3 linked regions of the Drosophila melanogaster genome follow. The protein of the gene in region 1 interacts with the protein of each later gene in a pairwise test. Each region holds a gene or a part of one and is shown in the gene's direction. Other genes may lie near its edges. The genes, in order: CG13407, CG17782 and Cyp9b2.

Region 1 (3,755 bases):
GGCACTTGGCTTAAATGCCTCATTTTCCAGTCATTAAATTTCGCTGGGCGCTCTTGCTGACCAATTTCGGTGGCCATAAAATCTTATAAAAATGTTGGTGGCAAATGTTCGGCTACTAGTTAACTACAATATGTCCGAGTCAACTTGTTATTGACTCTCTGTCTCGGTCCTGGGAGGGCTTTGAAATATGTTGACAATGGCGCCAGCAACAAAAGCTAAATATAAATACCCAATCCACAAAAAAAAAAAAAAAAAAAACAGCCCCCCATTTATGTTCTCAAATTTTCAACCCCGCAAGGCAATTGACTTTTCGATATGCTTCCCTTTTTTTTGGAAGAATCAGCAAAAGTCCTCTAGTTTCTTTTCCATAGTTTTTTGCCCAACATTTCCTGTGGGCCAAATTTTTGGGGGTTGGGGCAGCGCGACAAATCAAAGCGTTACAAAGCTGGAAAATGTGTGGAAAAGTTGCAGTGCAATTTATTATATGCTTTTGATTCTGCAAATCTAGCTGATGTTGTTCTTTCTTTTTTGTTTTGCTCCACGTTGTCGCTAGCACTGCGGAAATGTTAAATATTTGTTATTGCAGTCTAATGTTTCCGCTTTACGAAAGACAACAGACAGGGATTTTTCGAGACTGTGCTATGTTTGTGATCGAAGAGTTGTATACTTCTTGTTTAAAAGTAGTATATATATTACAATTAAATATAGTTAGAAAAAGTTAGTGGAAGATCAGAGCACTTGTAGTGTGTGATAACTGATATAAGCAGCACTAATATACCCCATAAAATTCAATTCAATATAAAAATCTTTTCTGGCAATGAAAACTATTAGCCCCAGTCATAAATCTTTAAGACCAAAGGCGTGGATGTGGAGAAGTGGAAGTGGACCCCAACCAAAAGCCGGGTTCGACTAACCGCACAAGGGACCACAAGAACCGAGCTCCATTTGGCTGCACAGACGACAGTGGCAAAGTCTGGGCCAGACATGGCACAATTATGACAATTTCTGATGCATAACGCTGCATCCATAGAGCTTTTAATGCAATAAACAAGCGACTGGAGCGTCATTAACACTGACAGGAATCGGTAAGGGTAGGGAGTAGGAGGAGTGTAGGGGGGGGGGGGTTGATGCCAAGGAGCATTCCCGGCCTTTTGTCGCTCACTAATTGTCTGGCCTGGCCGAAATGTGCAGCGCATGCATGCAACGCAACGCTCCAATTCAGGTGTGTGTCAGTTGGCCGTTGTCGCCACAAAACACTTTGCCGGCAATTGTCAGCTGGCTTTTGGGTACGTGTTACGAACAGTGATGGGAAATGGAAATACTTTCTCCACGGAGTACAAAATTAAATTAAGATACTAAAGATTACCTTTCCTGAAATTCAATAAAGAAGCAATATAGCAAAGTGGATAAAGTAAGGAGCTCTCGTTTAGAATCTATAACTTCTTCTTTTAATAAGTGAGTTACTATGTTTTTTGTAATTTTTGTACTTGTACCTAGTTTAAGTATTGGTACAAATGCTTTGCTCGAGCCGTACCTGCCAACACTGCCATTGAGTAGTTGTTTTAAGGCCGTTGCAGTTGCAAGTTGCTAGTTGTAGCCAAACTCACTTAGCAGCTGACAATGACAGTCGCCTGCCTCTCTTCTTTCCCGCATCACCAGCAACACCACTATCAGCACCACCACGATTACCACCCACTTCAAGTTCACCTGCGTTAATAGCCGCCTGCCAGGCAAGTGTCTGGGAAAGGCTTTGCCCAGTTGCCTAAACGACATTGTCACTTGCGGTTGGTTGGGCGCATCATCTCCTGCTGCTTCAGCCCCAAACTCCAGTTCGTCGTGCTCGTCCTGTTAGTCCTGATCGTCCTGTTTGCGGCTTCTGCAGTCGAGTTGCCATCGGTTTATGGCAGGTTGAGCACCAGCGACAATGAGCCACGCTGGTGCACCGTGTAGTGATAAACATGCGCGCTTTTCGGCACAAATCAATTAGCAATTGAATTTGGTGAACTCAAAGACGGTGAAAATGTCCGACGGCCAAATGACAAATCAACTCAACGTGCAACAGCAGGAACAACATCCGCTGCTTTCAGCCATCTCAGGAAATAATTATGCGTAAGCCATGGTCAAAGGCATTGGGATGTCGACTGTATTTGCCATACAGCCAAATCAAATTAAATTTGATATAATTAAGAAGTGGCACACTCACTCAGTTCCCTAGAATTATATTGTTAATCTGAACTCGCTTAAGTGCTTTTTATATATTTATCAAGAAGTCCTGCTAAACAACATCGTAAATAATGAATTAATTCTTTTTCAGTCATTGATATATGCAAAACTTAAACGCTTTAACAAACTTCTTTCTTCTATCCTACGTAATATTAATAATCGCTTAAAGGAGCCTTGAAAGAGTTTAGTCAGTTGCAACAGGATAAAGTGTGCTCTTTGGCTTAAAGATTAAGTGCTGGAGTGCCGGAGGCAACTGCAATCGCAAACGACCCCTGGCCCAAAAGACAGCCACTGCGGGCGCGGACTGATACCTCAGGCACTTAGCCGGGCTAATGTGGGACACAAACAGAAGCGGCGTCTCGGCCACACAACCACATGCCCAACCCCCCCCCCCCCCCACTCACTCATCCGCTTGCCCGCTTTCACCACTCACCTTCTAACCTTCTCTTGCAGTCAAACGCAGCGTGTGCATTACTATCCCAACCACTACTACCCGAGCCACTACTTGCCGGGCCATTACCACCAAGGACACCAAGGATACCAGGGGCAGCAGGGACGACCACCGCTCCTGGCGGCCGCCAGCAGCCACAACGGTGCTTATGCGGCCACGGCGGCTGGCAGCGGACACTCCGGCTACGGGTAAGCAAAGAACCACCGCTGCACTGAGAGAAAAGCAATGGGATGAACAAGAAAATTCATTCCAAATATACAAAGAAATTAAACTGTTATGAAAAAATATAAATAACTATTTGAAGATGAATATATACTTAATAATATTGATACTAATGAATACTAAAGTTTCGAACTTATCAACCTAAATTACCTATTTCTTCCTGTGCACTGGCCATCAAAGTCAAACCATAACCCCAATTCCAGTGCAAGTTCCGCATCTAATGCCAGTTTGAATTTTGCAGCGGCATAGAGCCATCCGTGGAGTACGAGCTGCAGCATGACCCACCCTCGGGTAGCTTCTCCTCCTTTCATCCCAGTAGTGCGGGCAGTGGGCCCGCATATCCATCTGCCCACCATCCGCCGGCTGGTCCACCACCGGCTCCTCCGCCCACCAAATCGTCAAAGAAATCGAAGAAGAGCAGCGGTTCGGTGATGAACGCACTAACGCTGCTCTCGTTCTTCTTCTTTGTTAACATGCTGCAGAACTGCCTGAAGGATCATATGGCTGACATGAATCCCACCGTGATGGTGCTCACAGCCAGCGGCACTCGCAATCGTTTCAACAAATTAGCCGAGATGAATTCACGCGAACAGACCTCGACAACGGCCACCGAATCGGTAACGGCATCGGCAGCGGCATCATCTTGGAATCATCAGGCTGCTTTAGTTCCGGCCGTCGAGCCAAGTGTGCCGCCCTCCATTGTTACGCCCACGGTGGTGCTGCAATCGCCCTACAGCCGTCACACGGAGATGGCCAATAAGCCGCCCCAACGCCAGCCAATGGAGTACCAGTCGAACCCTCAGCAAAATCATCACGATTATCGGCCCCACAACGCGAATGATGATGCTTATAATTACGG
Region 2 (3,755 bases), 2.3 Mb from region 1:
AAGTGGTAATGGTCACTCGAATGTCTCGCACACAGTGGTCATCACACCTGCTCCTGCTCCCGCTGGCCCACTTGAATCTGGAAGGGATGCGATGTTGCGACTGCATCGCCAGAAACGCTACCTGCTCTTCCCCGAGGGCTCGTCCTTTCAGCTGGTGTTCGACATCATCATACCCATCATAGACTACACCAACTACGCCATCCTGGGCATCACCTGCTCCGTGGCCTGGGAGCTGCCCAGTAAGCCGCCCAGCGAGCTGATTGAAAACGTGCTCACGCGCATCAACGACGGCACCATCGGCACTGTCCGCCGGAACGGCAGCGTACCCGATCCAGAACCTGACCCTCCATCCCAGCCCCTAACCCACTCGCAGAACCTGGAACTGGACAATCGAGGAGCAGACACGGCTAATTGGCAGGCAGTGCACGCACCGCCGGCGAATCCACCGGCATATGCGGCCAATGAGCATGACTCCCACTCGTATTACACGAATATCCAGCGCATCCCGGCCGCTTACCCATATGCAAATGCAAATGCGAATGCGGATGCAAATGCAAATGGACAGCAGAGCCAGGCGGCGATTCCTGCTAATTGGCATGCGCGACAGTCGCCCGCTGAGTGGCAGCAAAGGGTGAAGACGACGGGCGCTGACAACTGGTGGACACGAAATGGACAGCGAGTGCAGCAGAACTGGCGAGAAAAACAGCGCATATGGGGCCCCTCGAAGTGGGAGTAAGTAAACCTAAAAAATATACATATTTAAGTTAAAATATTATTTTAAAAATAATATTTCGCAGCTATGCCTACTCCCAGCGACCCCGAGAAGTGCTACGAGCACCACCCAAACATCACATATATCCCGTTTTCGCTCGGCGGAGGAGGCGACGCAGTCTTGATCAGGATGCCCACTTCGAGCGACTCCACCTGCAGCAGCATCTCAGCTCGAGGCAGCTGCTCTTTGGCAAAATCGAACGCCTGTACAAGTCGTGAGTTTAAGACGCCTACTATAAATTATTTCGCTCAGTGGTGTAATAAACGTGTAATCCTCCAGGCGACGACTAAATGGTACCTCCTGTGTGCTCCGCGCACTCTGCGAGTCCTCCCAAAGGCAACAGCATGTCCTTCGAGGGACGAATGCGGTCAGGCCACAAAGCTTTATAATGGAAATACTCTCGGCCATCTTTCAATTGCCCAGCAGCGATGACGTGGAGGAGCTGGAGGAACTTGAGCTAATGATTTCCCCTAATTATCTGGAGGCACATCGGCAGAAGGGCAACTGTCGGCAAATCTACGGTGACTGTAATCACACGTTCTGGTTGGATTGAACATAAAAACACAATAAAAGTCTGGGAATTATGTGAATGCTGCTATTGAGTTTTAATCAATATTATATGTACAAAAATTAATGGGCACTACAGTAGAAATCAGTGTTTGAATAACTTTGGGGATTAACGAGCTATTTAATATATCTTATAGTTTGTATTGACAACCCACCCAGAAAGCTAGTCGGATATTGTAAAGAAAAGATTGCACAAAAGTCATTTGGAAGTTTCTTCACTTGCAGCTAAAAGCATCTCCCGAGTCGAAGGCGAGCATTTGAGTTTATCACCGGAAAAACGGAGGCTAGTGATCACATTACTTCAACTTCCACTCTGCAGCACTATCGGAATAAGATGGAAGTGTGCTACTTTCGGGATGGAACGAATAAACCAAAAGTTGGGAGCGTGAAAAAGTAATTTGAACCTCTAAATAGACCAATGAGCACACGGAGCAAAAGGCGATGGCAATGGAAGCAGCTCTGCAAGACAAACTACTTGGCAAAGCACAAAAGACGAAAAGTGTGAAAACTAATGAAAGACAAAGGAGGAGGGCAAAAGAAATTTAACGAGCGGAGCTCAAACTCAAACTGGAAACTTTCTGGAGGGAAAGCTGCTTGGCCACCACCACTACTCACAATTAACAGCCAACTTTTGGCCAAGAACGCTTCTGTTGCTGCCTCTCTTTGTCGGTTTGGGCCAGCATCGCGATACTTGGCCAACAGTTGCCGCATGGACAACGCTTCGACAGCAGGTTGAAAAAATGTCGACACGGAAAAAGATGGGGAGCTGCTCCAATGCCATCGAGAAGGGAAATTCCCCGATAGGTAATTGCTGGCCGACCATCCTGACGCTTCTCATCGTGGCCAACTTGGTCGACGCACTGAAGACCGGGGAATCCATCCAGTTGGCAACCGGGAGCCAGCCATCACTGAGCATAAACAATGCGGACGACAGCAGCCTGGAGCAGCTCATCGAGATGAGGCTGAATGAGTCTGCGTCCGCATCCTACCAGAACAACCAGTCAGCCAGCCAGGAGCTGTTGTCCCGGAAACGACGTTATTTGGTATTTCCGGAAGGCAGCTCCTTTCAGATGGGTAAGTCCTCAGTCACGGGACAGTGACGCAGTTAAAGGGCATTTTACATTGAATAGGGGGTGTCGCAATTGCAGTATAAAAATAAATCTCAATCTTTATAAATCTAAAATATTTACAAAGATTGTGACTTTAAACCTTGTCTATTATTACCCCTAACTATGCCACTGTGCCACATAATGCAAATCACATGCCTCAATTACCCCTCCCTCTTCATCCGTTTAGTGTACGATGAGATTGTGGGAGTGGTGGACCACACGAACTACTTGATTCTGGGCATTACGGTGGCCCTGGCCTGGGAGCTGCCCAGCAAGCCGCCCAGCGAGGAGCTGGACGATCTGCTGACCAAGTTGGAGGACGGCACAATAGACATCAGTCGCAACGACACAGTGTCGAACATAACCTATGTGGATGTGGATGCAGATGCCACGACGACCACGACGAGCAGGCCGGCGGACTACAAGCCCAACTACATCAATTTGTCGAGTTACGGCTCCTCCTCCTCCTCCTCCTCCTCGAGTGGCAGCAACTCCTACTACAGCCTTTCGCCCGTTTTCCGCCCTCCGATGCATCCGTCGCATCGATATGCGGATAGTTATTACTCCTCACGTCCAAAGGGGGGCAGGCGGAAGGACAATCACTATTACTACAGTCGGCCCGGGGTCAGCTCCAGCTCCAGCAATCCATTCGCCAAGTGGACGAGACCCTACTCTCACGCCCAGAACTCACGCTATCCCTACTGGGCTTTAAACTCAAGGTAAAACTATTGTACATACTTAGGAGGTTATTAATCTTCATCCTTCTAAAAGGTTAGCTTTAGTATTCAGTCCTTTATAGTTTTACCTTATGCATGTTCATATTTTAATTAATTATCTATTTCATTTGCAGACTCAAAGATAGATACTACGGCTACAAAAGTCAACAGGCAGCACCGCCAGCGGCGCAGCGACGACAGGACAGTACCACCACCACCAGCGCACCCACCACCAGTCGACCCACTCGAAGGCCAGCTCCTCGACATCATCGCATATATCCGGTGTTTGGCAAGCGCAGCATTCCGGATGCAGCCAATCCACATAAACGCCAGCGACGCAGTGGAGTGGCCACTGAGCATGAGGACAAGATGAGCCGCCTGGAGCAACTCCAGATCAAGCACCATCGCAGAAGCAGACAGTCCTTGTACGAGCGAATCGAGAAGTATCTGGACAAGTAAGTAGGACTCTAAGTAAGGCATCGGTCCTTCTAGATGTACTCTTTCTTCTTCTTCTATTTCATTGAGATACCTTAAAGTTCAGATACAAGTTTTAGGTAGACTCATCAGGGATTTTAGTTGAGAAGTACTTAT
Region 3 (3,755 bases), on another chromosome or scaffold:
AAGCCATCAAATCAAAGAAAGTGCAACAATGTGTGATCCCAAATCGGGAGCCCTTCCCCGATTTTGGGTATCCTTTCAACGTTTAATATCTCATCAAGTGTTACGCTTTACGACTACTTAAAACCCCATAAAAAACGAAACAAAATAAAACTGTGGCAAGGCGGCACAGGCAACTGAATCCGAAACAAAATCAACGCCCAAAGCCGTAAATTTCCCTCCGTCGGTTTCAGACGGGTTTTCCGAGGAAAGCTGCTGAAAGGAAAGCGAAAGGAAATGCAAAAAGCGAAAAAGCACAGCAGCATAGCTACGAGAGAAGCGACAGCAGCAGATTTAATGATGCAGCATGATTTGCGCATAAAAAGAAGCGAAATAGAATGGACTGAAATGGTATAGAAGGGCGGGCGGGGGCGTGGCAGCAGGCATTATAGCCTGACAGACATCAGCAACTGCTGGGCAACTGCTTTGATAAAATGCAGCTCTCCCGTCCACAATCACTTACATCCTCGCAGGCTGTACATATATGTTTGGACACATATATCCTAACACTTTAGTCGCGCATAAAATGCCAAAGGACCTTCATGTGCGACACAGCAGTGGGTTTCAGGGAGCTGCTCAGTTTTCCGAGCATGTATGTATGTATGTATGTATGCTCATATGTGTATGCGGGATTTCGAGTGCATGCGTGCTCCAAAGGGTTGAATAAACCCAGGCGAACTCGGAAAAGCTAGTGGATCCCAGAAAAGGATCAGAGAAACGTGAATTCAATACATTTTCTGAACAACATACAGGCAAAGTGAGCGCCACAGGAAATGAAAGTATAGAATATAATATAGCAGGTTTTCTAGTCATAAAGAAGTTTAGGAAGTATTCACATAAATCCAACCCAGATATGGATCAGCAAAATATACAAAAAATATGAGTTTTCCGTGTAAAAACTAATGAATTTTCCTAACTTCTCTATACATGAATAGCCGCATGCACTTTCTTCTTCGAGCCCTTCAATAAATATTTTATTTGGCAACGATATGGCAACAAAAGTTTCTAAGCCCGACAAAAGAGAAGCAGAAACTAAAACAAAACTTAGCTCGGTAACACAACCGTCTAAATATTTAATTATATTTCTCCCATTGCGCTTGCGGCTAAATTGGTGTTTTAACCGTTTGCTCGTTATTATGCTTTTGTTGGTGGCCCCAGCACTCCGTCAATATGTTAAATATTCAAACTGCGAGCCCCAAAATCAACAAAACTATGAGTCAAACCCGTCTTCGGCCAGGTTTACATCACATCCAGTGTGTGTGACATGACAAACTGGAGTTCTAGTGAGGTGACATAAGCACTGGGCGATGGGGAAAGCGAACAGAGCTTCATCAGCTGAAATTATCCAGGCAACGGACAAGGCCGATTACTTTTCGAACACATTATCGCTTTTCGTTCTTTGTTGGTAACTCGATGAATGCTTTAGCCTGATTTCATCAGCCAGTCCCAAATCAAGCACTCTTATCGGCAATGGAGAGTGCCGTTTGACAACAGTGCAAATGGGCAATGAAATACAATAAGTGAATATCGAAATACTTTCCCTTGCTATCACATTTTCTTTCTATTTTGGTTTGCCAGGCTTTCTGCGTCTTTTGCATTTATTTTCTACTATATCATATATATTTATTCTTAATCTTACTGCATTTGTGATACTCAGAATCTAGAGTATTATATATATCGAAGAAATGTGCAATCATTACAAATGCTACTTTACTCACATTTTGTTGCTCTGTGTTATTATTCGTTGTCACTGATTGGATTGCCGTGTATATACGCTATTGATTAGACCTTTGGAGAGAAGAGAGCATTTAAACCACTCGCGTTTGAAGTACTCGTTGATAGCACCAAATATAAACAATGGGTGCGAAGCACAAATGTTTGCTGTAGTCTCACCGCTCGCAAAGATTTTTCACTGAGAGCGGGCTAAGAGATAAGCGTTCTATCTAGCAAAAAAACCTGGCTGAATAAAGCTTGAAACCTGTCGAGAGCGTACATACTTTTCTTACCATATTCATACACACATATATTTGATAGCGGCGTGTATAAATTGGTGCGTCGGGTAATTGTGAAAATCAGTTTGCAGCGTACTGAACAGGTGGTGAAACGGATCTAGCCCAGAAATGGCACTCATCGAAATTTGTCTGGCCCTTGTGGTCATCGGTTATCTCATCTACAAATGGAGCACGGCCACCTTCAAAACCTTTGAGGAAAGGAAGCTCTACTTCGAAAAGCCATATCCCTTTGTGGGTAATATGGCTGCAGCGGCCTTGCAGAAGTCGTCCTTCCAGAGACAACTCACCGAGTTCTACGAACGCACTCGTCAACAGTGAGTAGTTATGCGCCTGACTTCCAGTTGTTCAAACGCTAACAGACTGCTTATCTGAATGCAGCAAACTGGTGGGCTTCTTCAATATGCGCACACCTATGATCACGCTAAACGACCCGGAGCTGATCAAAAAGGTCTGCGTAAAGGACTTTGACCACTTCCCCAACCACCAGCCCTTCATCACCTCCAACGATCGCCTGTTCAACGACATGCTCAGCGTGATGAGGGACCAGCGGTGGAAGCACATGAGAAACACCCTCACTCCGGTCTTCACGGCGGCCAAAATGCGCAACATGTTCACCCTGATGAACGAGAGCTTCGCGGAGTGCCTGCAGCACCTGGACAGCTCTTCGAAAACGCTTCCCGGCAGAAAGGGCTTTGAGGTGGACATGAAGGTGATGTGCAACAAGCTCTCCAACGACATCATCGCCACTACCGCATTCGGGCTAAAGGTTAACTCGTACGACAACCCGAAAAATGAGTTCTACGAGATCGGGCAGTCGCTGGTTTTCTCCCGAGGACTTCAGTTCTTCAAGTTCATGCTGTCCACCTTGGTGCCAAAGCTTTTCAGTGTAAGTTTATTAATATTTGATGTGCACTGAATAGATTATATATTCGAGATGTTGTCCTTTTGTTGTCCTCAGCTTTTGAAGCTTACTATTTTCGACTCCGCCAAGGTTGATTACTTTGCTCGCTTGGTGGTGGAAGCCATGCAGTACCGCGAGAAGCACAATATCACCAGGCCCGACATGATCCAGCTCCTGATGGAGGCCAAGAATGAGTCGGAGGATAAATGGACGGACGATGAGATCGTGGCCCAGTGCTTCATTTTCTTCTTCGCCGCCTTCGAAAACAACTCCAATCTGATCTGCACCACAACCTACGAACTGCTTTACAATCCCGACGTCCAGGAGCGTTTATACGAGGAGATAGTCGAGACCAAGAAAGCTCTGAACGGTGCACCACTCACTTACGACGCCGTGCAGAAGATGACCTACATGGACATGGTCATCTCCGAGTCCCTTCGAAAGTGGACTCTAGCCGCCGCCACCGATCGCCTGTGCTCCAAGGACTACACGCTCACGGATGATGATGGCACCAAGCTGTTCGACTTCAAGGTAGGCGACCGAATCAACATTCCCATTTCCGGGTTGCACTTGGATGACCGCTACTTCCCGGAACCCAGAAAGTTTGACCCGGATCGATTTAGCGAAGAGCGAAAGGGTGACATGGTGCCCTACACCTACTTGCCATTCGGCGTGGGACCTAGGAATTGCATAGGTCAGTTAATAAAAGTGTTACGATAAGGAGGACAGTTTAAATCATACAATTTCTTTGTAGGAAATCGATATGCCTTGATGCAGGTCAAGGGTATGCTCTTCAACCTACTGCT

The links.
Region 2: the proteins of CG13407 (region 1) and CG17782 interact in a two-hybrid assay, tested with the Drosophila melanogaster proteins (one large-scale study listed by BioGRID).
Region 3: the proteins of CG13407 (region 1) and Cyp9b2 interact in a two-hybrid assay, tested with the Drosophila melanogaster proteins (one large-scale study listed by BioGRID).

Annotation. Positions count from the first base shown.
Region 1 is NT_033777.3:22,101,394-22,105,148, forward strand, and holds the start of CG13407 (uncharacterized protein), read left to right. Parts: upstream 1-2,020; coding exon 2,021-2,109; intron 2,110-2,676; coding exon 2,677-2,862; intron 2,863-3,137; coding exon 3,138-3,755.
Region 2 is NT_033777.3:24,371,061-24,374,815, reverse strand, and holds the start of CG17782 (uncharacterized protein), read left to right. Parts: upstream 1-2,053; 5' UTR 2,054-2,079; coding exon 2,080-2,413; intron 2,414-2,635; coding exon 2,636-3,167; intron 3,168-3,298; coding exon 3,299-3,619; intron 3,620-3,755. Other genes in the region: CG17781 (uncharacterized protein), read left to right, coding at 1-732, 798-986, 1,052-1,325.
Region 3 is NT_033778.4:7,130,491-7,134,245, reverse strand, and holds the start of Cyp9b2 (cytochrome P450 9b2), read left to right. Parts: upstream 1-2,106; 5' UTR 2,107-2,156; coding exon 2,157-2,362; intron 2,363-2,426; coding exon 2,427-2,934; intron 2,935-3,006; coding exon 3,007-3,643; intron 3,644-3,703; coding exon 3,704-3,755. UniProt on the Drosophila melanogaster protein: May be involved in the metabolism of insect hormones and in the breakdown of synthetic insecticides.